Arabidopsis thaliana: one gene and its partner. The protein of the gene in region 2 interacts with the protein of the main gene of each other region in a pairwise test. Each region holds a gene or a part of one and is shown on either strand. Other genes may lie near its edges.

Region 1 (4,233 bases), on a different chromosome or scaffold from region 2:
TCGTCCTTAACCAATTTCAGGATCAGCTTGTCTTCTACCTAACGCCATCAGACGCTATGGAGAAATTCGCAGAGAATCCAACAAAGAACAAATTCAGACTCGGTGGTTTGGTTCTAGAAGGTAGCGTTGCGCAGCCGGCGGCGTCACAGGAGATGGAGTTTGTGATCACTGATCTGATCACTGATATTTTGGTTAGGTATAAAGGATCTTTGCCGGATCTGTTTAGGGAAGGTCATTCAGTTGTGGTTGAAGGATTCATTAAGCCGTATACAGATGAAGTAAGGAAGGAAGTTTCTACAAAACCTATTTCGAAGAAAGCTAGGAACCTCGATTGTTTCTTCTCGGCGACTGAAGTTTTGGCTAAGCATGATGAGAAGTATATGCCACAGGAAGTTGCGGCGGCGATTGAGAAGAATAAGAAAATTATTGAAGCGGCGGCGACTGAACAAGCTGCTGAAGTTGCGGCTTCTTAGATTGGTATAAACTTCATTCTTTTTAAGTTAATCAAAATTTTCCCCAAGTTCGAGCTTTTGGTGAGTATTGTTCATCTTATAAGGTTATATTTGATTATAGTTTCTGGAAAAGAGTAGGAAGATTGGAATGTTATATTCCTGGAAAACAGAGATTTGATTTTTGAGTCTATTTGAGAATTAAGTGGAGAAATGTGATACACTATACAATAGCTTTGTTTGATTCCACAAAGCTATAAGCTAATCTACTTTCTTGTTGTGTTGATCAAATAAAGAACACTTTGACGAGGGATCAAATATGCTGCTTGATTCATTGTGTTGTTGGATGTTTTGTTTGTTGTTGATGTGCACACAGATTAGAGAAGCTATGTTTTGTTGCTGCACACAGATTAGATTGATCTAGTGAATCTTATTAGCTTCATCAGGTCGTGGGTATATAATTGTAAACGTATCACCAAAGTTGTAGCTTGTGTGACCTTATTCTTATCATGACTAGGTACTATAGCCAAAAGAGTTGAACATACAGGTCTTTCAGAGCTTCCTCTTAGTTGTTCTGGAGGTTCCAAGCTCTTTCTTTGTTGTTTTATAAATATGGGTTGAGCTTGTTGACAATCTTGAAGATGGTCATGCATTCCTTTTATGCATCTTATGTTTCAACTAGGCAATTCTGGCCCTGGAGATTTCAAGTTTGTACTTTCTGAGTCGATTAGGTGCCTAGTTTTTGCCTCTAGAATCATGGCATTGGCTTCTGTTTTGGCACTTCTCTTAGGCTTGTTGGTTGATAACCAACTACTAGTCTACTAATGTAGCTGTAGTTTGAAGTGTTCCGCAGTTACGCTATTGCTTTTGCTTTTTTTAAGTGCATCTTTATATATGCATCAGTCTCTCATTGTATAGCAAATTTATCGTGGGTGGTATATGATTCAGTCAACAAAAACTGACTATCAAGTATGGAACGAGTGGTATATGATTGAGTCATCAAAAATACTGACTATCAAGTATGGAACAAGAGCATTACGATATTTGTCACTACTATATTCGATTGCTATTGTGTGCTTGGTCCATTTTGAATATGGGACAAATCACCATTACTATACTTGCTGCCCTATACTAACTAGATTATTCCATATTCCTCGTAGATAGTTTTTGTTTTTTGGTTCAGAGAAAGTTCAGATTTTAGGCCTATAAGTTCTTTTGGTTGGGGACCATATCAAGTTAAATCTCTCACTATATGCATTGTGGCGGTTCGGCCGACCTGTCTAAAATTGGGCTTGTTCAAATCCTGCCTCAAATCCTGCCAAAGCGTGAGTTATATACATATACATTGACACTGAATCATTCCATCCAGGGCCGGTTGGCTGGATCCAAAATCAGTCGTTACCTATTTTTGGCAATCTTAAACTTATTGATTTTTTTTTTCTGACGTTTCACAAATCATCATCATATGTGAAAAACCAAAACATCTATATTAAGAAGAAAAAAAATATTGTTACAATTTCTGAAAATATTTGGTTCATTTAGTCCTTAAAAATTCTAATTACCAAAAAAGACAAATATATAACAATTGAAACACATGTGTGTTATCAGGAGAATTTGTATGTTTTGAGGAGGTGTGCATCATCCGTCTATCAATACCCTGACAAGGAAAACCCTAATTTTTTTTGGCCCAAAGGGTTTTATACTTTAATCTCATACTCCGATTCATTGTCGAAAAACGATGATGCATAATTCAACCGAAGAATCGGAATGGGAGGTGAGACCTGGTGGTATGCTCGTCCAACGAAGAGACGACGCCGCTTCCTCCGACCACAAACCTCTCCAGGATCCCGACTCTGCTTCCGCCGCTTTTGCTCAAACCATCAGAATCACTGTTTCTCATGGCTCATCGCACCACGATCTTCATATTTCTGCTCACGCCACTTTCGGTAACAAAACTCTCAGCTCCGTTTCTGATCCATCGCCTGAAAATTCCAAATAATCGAAGCCTGAGAGAATTTAGCGTGATTCATTATGAAATTTTTCTTGCTCTATTTAGTTTTTGTTGAAGTTGTGTTAGTGTAGTTGAAGATTGATATGTTTAAGCTCGAATGTGATAACTAGGGGATGTGAAGAAAGCTCTTGTTCAGAAAACTGGATTGGAAGCTAGTGAATTGAAGATCTTGTTCAGAGGAGTTGAGAGAGATGATGCTGAACAATTGCAAGCTGCTGGTGTTAAGGATGCGTCTAAGCTTGTTGTTGTTGTTGAGGATACGAATAAGAGAGTGGAACAACAGCCTCCTGTGGTAACTAAAGAGATGGAAAAAGCTATTGCTGCTGTTAACGCGGTTACAGGAGAGGTCGATAAGCTCTCGGATAGAGTGAGTTTTTATAAGCCTGTATTTCTTTTGGAGATGACGGAAGGATTGTGCTTAAGCTAGTTTTTTTTGGTAATTAGGTTGTTGCTTTAGAAGTTGCTGTGAATGGAGGGACGCAAGTTGCGGTGCGGGAGTTTGACATGGCTGCAGAGCTTCTTATGAGGCAGCTGCTCAAATTGGATGGCATTGAGGCTGAAGGGGACGCTAAAGTACAGCGTAAGGCTGAGGTTAGTTTTCTTGCTTTGTTAAGCATGTTTACACGGTAAGAGTGTTAATAGAGTTGGAAGATATATGAGTTGTGGTTTGTGTTGGCAGGTACGTAGAATCCAAAACTTGCAGGAGGCTGTGGATAAGTTGAAGGCAAGATGTTCAAATCCGTTTGTGGATCAGAGCAAAGCTGCAGCTGTAAGCACTGAGTGGGAATCGTTCGGAAACGGTGTCGGAAGCTTGAACCCTCCTCCGCCAGCTTCGCCTTCGGCCAATGTAACTCAAGATTGGGAGAAATTTGACTGACATTTTAGTACTGCTACGTTGCCTTGGAAAAAAATGCTTATTGAAACTGTTTATCTTTTTGATTATTGTTAAATATTGGAAAACGACCATCGTCTTTATCTTCTAATGTATAGATATATTATATATAGTATCGGAAATCTACATCTCTGTACGTTATGTTGGAATAATCCCTGGGAATAGTCTTTGATGTCTCTCAGTCTCTGTCGTGCCTAATTGGCTTATGTCGTAGTACTAAAGATTATGGCTACGAGTTTTGGAGACACTTTTGCATATGTGTTTCCATGTTCTAGTAATCGGGAGCTCAAGTTCAATTTGATGATAGCGATAGTGTTGCAAAAATGATTTATGTTTACTGTTACATGTTTCAATCCTTATAAACTACAGCTTCGAGGGAAGATTGCCTCAAACTGAGAAGTACACACTACAAGCCAAATAATGCAAAGTTAAGGTTAGTTTCATTTCAAGAGTACGATCCGTGCTTTTTGGATAAAAAATACATTCTTACCCAAAAACTAGAAGACATTCTTAGCTGTCTCACCCACATGACCATACGTTTCATTCTCAATTATATGTTCCATGGAATTATATTTAATCTATATAATAACATTCTTGTGCCATCACATAAACTAATAATCCACTCAGCAGTGATTAGACTTAATCATAGCTTAGCAGAGATTTAATTACGATTACTTCCTTAACCATTTATTTATATAACAAAAAAAATTAACAGTAAAACGTGTTGACATGACTTCGCCGTTCAATGTGGGTGGCAAAAGCCATTTGCCGGCTATCTAACAGCACATATTATTATTTATTATTTTCTCGACCATTTATTATGTTCTGTCAGATAATATTTTAATTTTAATTTATATTCTATTCTGTGATGATTTCTTACG
Region 2 (5,005 bases):
AAGATAAGAGCAAGATCGGTGATTATTATCGAGAGATGTTGAGATCTAATCCTAATAATTCGCTTCTTCTGATGAATTACGGCAAGTTTTTGTATGAGGTTAGTGATTTTTAGAAGCTGAATTTGAGTTTTGGGAATTGGAGATTAGGTTTTGATTTGGGATTGAATCTTCAGGTGGAGAAAGATGCAGAGGGAGCTGAAGAGTACTATGGAAGAGCAATACTGGAGAATCCAGGAGATGGAGAAGCTTTATCCATGTATGGAAGATTGATATGGGAAACGAAGAGAGATGAGAAGAGAGCTCAAGGTTACTTTGATCAAGCTGTTAATGCTTCTCCTAATGATTGGTATAATTTGTATACTTTGATTACTTTTACTAATCCCAAATTAATTTTCTTTACTTTGAATCTAAAATGTTTGTGTTGTTGTAACTTTGTAGTATGGTTTTGGGATCATATGCACGTTTCATGTGGGAGGCAGAGGATGATGATGATGATGATGAAGAAGAAGAAGAAGAAGAATGGATGGCTGCATCACCACTCATGGTTTCTGCAGTTTAGAGACTAACACGACGAAGATGAAGAAGAAGTAATGGAGACTAAGATTATGTATCAAGTATCAACCTTTTTTTTGTCTATTTCACTGTCTTTTTACTAACTTTTGTTGTAATAACCTGAAGAGTAATGAAAACATGTATGTGAAAGAAAACGAATGTAACCTTATTATAAGAGAATAAAAGTGCTTTTGTATAGTTTAGAATTTCGTTGTTTAGAATCAGAATTAAAGTGGATAATTCGTTGAATATAGGAGAAAAAGAACAAGTCTTTATGATCATCACAATCAAAAGAAACTACTAAGAAACAAACTAAACAAGATTGAATTTGAAACCTACTTAACATGTCTCTCTCTCTCTATTTATCTAAAACCAAAGCTAAATTTAAGAGAAATAGTAAAGGAGAAGAAGATGAGAGAGTAAGAGAGCTCAATCTACTTTATAGAGATAAATCTGATGGAGAGATGTGTCAAAAGGAACAGAGAAGCAAACCCGGTCAAATCTTGACCCATGAACCATCTGTTTATTGAGGACTGTTGCCAGGCCAGAGATTCTGGTACATCTGCATAGGAATTTGGTGAAGCGGTTGAGGTGTAGAGTTTCCAAATATCCCATGATTGTTGCTGTTGTTGTTGTTGCTTCTACGGTGCAACGGAGAATTACTTTCGTTTTCCTCTGATGACTCGCTCGAGTGTTGTTGTCCTTGAGATCGAGGGCTTCCCGGTCCACCAACACCACCAAAGCTCAACATATTGGCTGGTGCTGAAGCTGGCTCCGGAGTATTCTGAGCACGCCCCGCACTTTGTTTCTGCTTCCTTCCATCTGGTACAAAGCTTCCCACAATGACCTATATAAAAACCCCAATCAAAGTCAGTATCTTGAATACTTTCTGATCTTAACTCAAGTGTAAAGGTTAAGAATTTGACAAACCTGGACTTGTGATCCAGCTACTAGCATTCCATCAACACATCCACCCACAATCCGGCCTTCGTGTCCAGCCAGCGACACACTCAAGTTACCAGTTTTGGTCACAGTACCATTACTCTCAGAATTCAAGAAAGAACCTGACAGAGAAATGATTTCAAATCGGCCCTGAAACAACAACACATCCAATACAGCTCAATACAAGATTTAAATTCCAGCTCCATTCGATAACAACAGAGCTCAAAATGAGGCCAAGAAGCAAGCAATGCACAAAGCACATGAGTAATTTTATACCTCATACTTAACAGTTCCAGTAGGATTGCTATTGTTAGCTTGACGAAGCATCACATTAGTTACAGCTCCTGTAGCTGAGAGAATACAGATTGCGCGTGGCCCTTGGTTCGTAAACGCCAATATCTTCGTAGCTATGTCCTGAATACAATGAAAGATCATAACTTTAACCAAAGAAACAAATTGAAGATTAAAGATTTGCTACATCAACACATTACCTCTCCTGTTTTAACCTCAATGACATGAGGCGTGAACCCAACTCCTCCTGTTCCTCCTGCTCACACACACACACAGAGGACAAAACCCATTAAGTAAAATTGTAAAACAGTGAATTTGATTTGATAAGAGAAAGAGAGAGAGAGATAGAGATAGATCCTGTACCTAAAGCATCGAGCTGCTTCTTACCGGAGCCAGGAGGACGTCCTCTGTTCCGTTTAGCAGGTGGATCGGAAGAGTTAGCATTAGCTCCGGCGCTATCACCACCACCACCTCCTTCATTTCCACCACCGTAAGAATTAGAAGCAGAAGGAAGAGGCGAAGTAGGAGCCAAACCAAGAGCAATGTTACTACCACCACCACCACCACCACCACCATCAGCAGCATACTTCCTAGGTCTACCTCGTTTCTTCTTAACCTGTTGATGGTCGATCCCAAATCTCATCGAATGTTGTTGAGTGGCGGCAACAGAAGAAGGCGATCCATCAAATCCAAGAGATTCAAGAGTCTTCTGATCTATCTGTTGCTGAGGCTGAGGATGATGATACTGATGTTGTTGAGGCTGATGCGGTGACATAGAACCACCAAAAGGTAATCTTTGATGCATAGCTTGAGATGTGGAGGTGTTGTGACCCATTAAAACAGCGGCGGCGGCGTTAGGGTTTCGATTGTAGGAATTGTGGTGACTCATTAACATCCCTGGCGGTGGTTGTTGCTGTTGTTGTAGATGTTGCTGTTGTTGCTGCTGCTGCTGTTGTTGTTGTTGTTGTTGCTGTTGTTGGTGGTGGATCTCTCTGGAATCCATTGGAGGTGGAGAAAAGTATGAATCTTTGTGAATTTAGGGTAATTTTCTTGGAGACCCACTTTTCTGTTTTACGAATGCCGAGAAAATAGACGAGAAAGTGCAGGTTTTTGAGTTTTAAGCGAAAGCGTGTGAGCTAGCTAACAACTCTCTCTCTCTCTCTCTCTCTCTCTCTCTCTCTCTCTCTCTCTCTCTCTCTCTCTCTCTCTCTCTCTCTCTCTCTTTCTTGAGTTCTTTCATCAGACGAGGGACGATCTAGTTAGTGTCTAATTTTTTTATTTTTTTTTTGTGTTTTTGAAGATTTTTAATTATATAAATAAAAGAAGAAATTGAGGAAACAAATCTTTGGTTTATGGTTTTCAGTTTTCAGGAGATTAAGTTTTGTTTTTGTTTTCTTTAATATTGATGAATTTAACTTTTAAAATATAATATAATTAGGGTTTTGTTAAAATGTGAATGAAATAAAGAGTTTGTGTCTTTAATAATGATGATGTTCAGTCCAGTTATAGTTTCTAGTTGTAATCTAATGTAAATGGTTTGGTGTTCTCTCCTTTAACACTAGTTCTGTTTTAATAAATGGTTTTCAATTTTTTTGGGGTTTTTCACATAATTTCCATTGTTGCATTGAATGAACCAAGTTTGGTTATTGGAAGAGAAATCAAACCGGAATGAGACATTGAAGTTTAATAAAATATTAGGAGGTTATTTTAGTTCAGTGTCTTTTTAGAAAATCTCTAAAATGCAAACAAATGCACAAGAATTAATAAGAGAATAATATATCAAATAAATTATTATGTAAACTAAAGATTTTGGTTTGACTGTGTTTGGGAAATGCAAAAATAATAAAGATGGGGTTTGTACTTTGATGTGTCAGATTTTTTTTCTTAAGTATATCCTTCAGATCTTAAAAACAATCACTAGTTTGAAAATGACAGCAGCTTATTTTGACTATTTTGTCCTTCTATTGCCTATCTTTTTAAGAAAAATCTATCATTCAGAATTCAGAATACTGTTGTATATACTCTCTATAGATTCCAAATTAATTGACAAACTCAAGTTACTAATTTTTAATGCTACTATATCACATAGATAAAGACCCACTGGAGTTGGAATAGAATGTAGCAACCAAATATTTAATATATGCAACTTTAGAATCCAAAACAAAAATCTGTGTAAAGGAACAAAAGTGTATATTTTAATTGGTTATGTACTCTTCTCCCATACTTGTTCACGAGAAAATGGAATTTACCGATTAGATTTTTTTTTGTATCCCGGTTTAATCCAAAGGATAAAATATGTGATGTGTATCCGGTTTTGTTGGAGATGATAATCAATGTAAAAGACTAAAAGTACTAAACTTTTTATGTCTAGGTAGCGACTAAAGTGATTGACTTTAGTAGACCAACAAGCAATAAAAAGCAAATGTTATCAACAGTTTACGCCATGCGCGTACCTTAAGAAACTGGACACGTAAAACCAGATGCTGTGAAAAATTAGTACCTGAACATAGAAATATTTCGAGACAGATAACGAATGTTTTTCTTTTAAAGTACTTTAGAGTTTATCATATGATTCAAGTCACCTGAAAGATCCATAATCTCTATTATCACTTGGTGCTGCAAGGCTGCAACACATAAGAGTGTTGCATTGAAAAATGAAAACACTTACGGAAACTAATGAACTTGGAAGCAATTGACCAAAAGTATAATTATTGGTCAGGTGGGCTTTTATTAATGGGCTTAACTCTCACTAATGTAGCCCACTAGTGAAATGTAATTGTGGTAAATAAGAATTTACCGCTCGTTAATGGAGAAGAAGAAGGGTTAGATTTGGAAAGTAGAGAAATGAGCAAAAGCAAGAAGAAGAAGATTCTCTCTTTGATCCACTTTCCTCCATTGTCGTCGCAGAGAGAGTGGAGATATTCGGATTCAGTTTATGAAGTAGAACTTGGGTCTAAAGGATTCAGTTTCATAAACCCTAATAAGTATCTGTTGTCTGATTAACTTATAGGAAAGATCATTTTTTTTTTTGTTTCTCTTAGTGACGGATTGGTCTAGAAACTAGTATGCAAATTGTAGCTTCTGGGAGAGAAAGTTTGTATTTTTAGTAACGGATTTATTTTGGGAGAGTTTGATTTGTAAGGATTAGGATGGGTTTTTTCAAGAAATTAGCTGGTGTGTTTGGATTTGGCCAGGAAGTATTGAAAAATGAGGAAGATGA

What was found.
Region 1: the proteins of AT4G17950 (region 2) and BAG4 interact in a two-hybrid assay, tested with the Arabidopsis thaliana proteins (one large-scale study listed by BioGRID).

The regions. Positions count from the first base shown.
Region 1 is NC_003074.8:19,206,133-19,210,365, reverse strand, and holds BAG4 (BCL-2-associated athanogene 4), read left to right. Parts: upstream 1-1,717; 5' UTR 1,718-2,187; coding exon 2,188-2,395; intron 2,396-2,570; coding exon 2,571-2,827; intron 2,828-2,904; coding exon 2,905-3,051; intron 3,052-3,139; coding exon 3,140-3,337; 3' UTR 3,338-3,598; downstream 3,599-4,233. Other genes in the region: G1 (transmembrane protein G1P-related 1), read left to right, coding at 1-473. UniProt on the Arabidopsis thaliana protein: Co-chaperone that regulates diverse cellular pathways, such as programmed cell death and stress responses.
Region 2 is NC_003075.7:9,966,220-9,971,224, forward strand, and holds AT4G17950 (AT hook motif DNA-binding family protein), read right to left. Parts: upstream 3,014-5,005; 5' UTR 2,789-3,013; coding exon 2,149-2,788; intron 2,042-2,148; coding exon 1,986-2,041; intron 1,909-1,985; coding exon 1,771-1,908; intron 1,645-1,770; coding exon 1,483-1,644; intron 1,400-1,482; coding exon 1,076-1,399; 3' UTR 560-1,075; downstream 1-559. Other genes in the region: AT4G17940 (Tetratricopeptide repeat (TPR)-like superfamily protein), read left to right, coding at 1-98, 174-346, 439-559; AT4G17960 (phospholipid hydroperoxide glutathione peroxidase), read left to right, coding at 4,935-5,005. UniProt on the Arabidopsis thaliana protein: Transcription factor that specifically binds AT-rich DNA sequences related to the nuclear matrix attachment regions (MARs).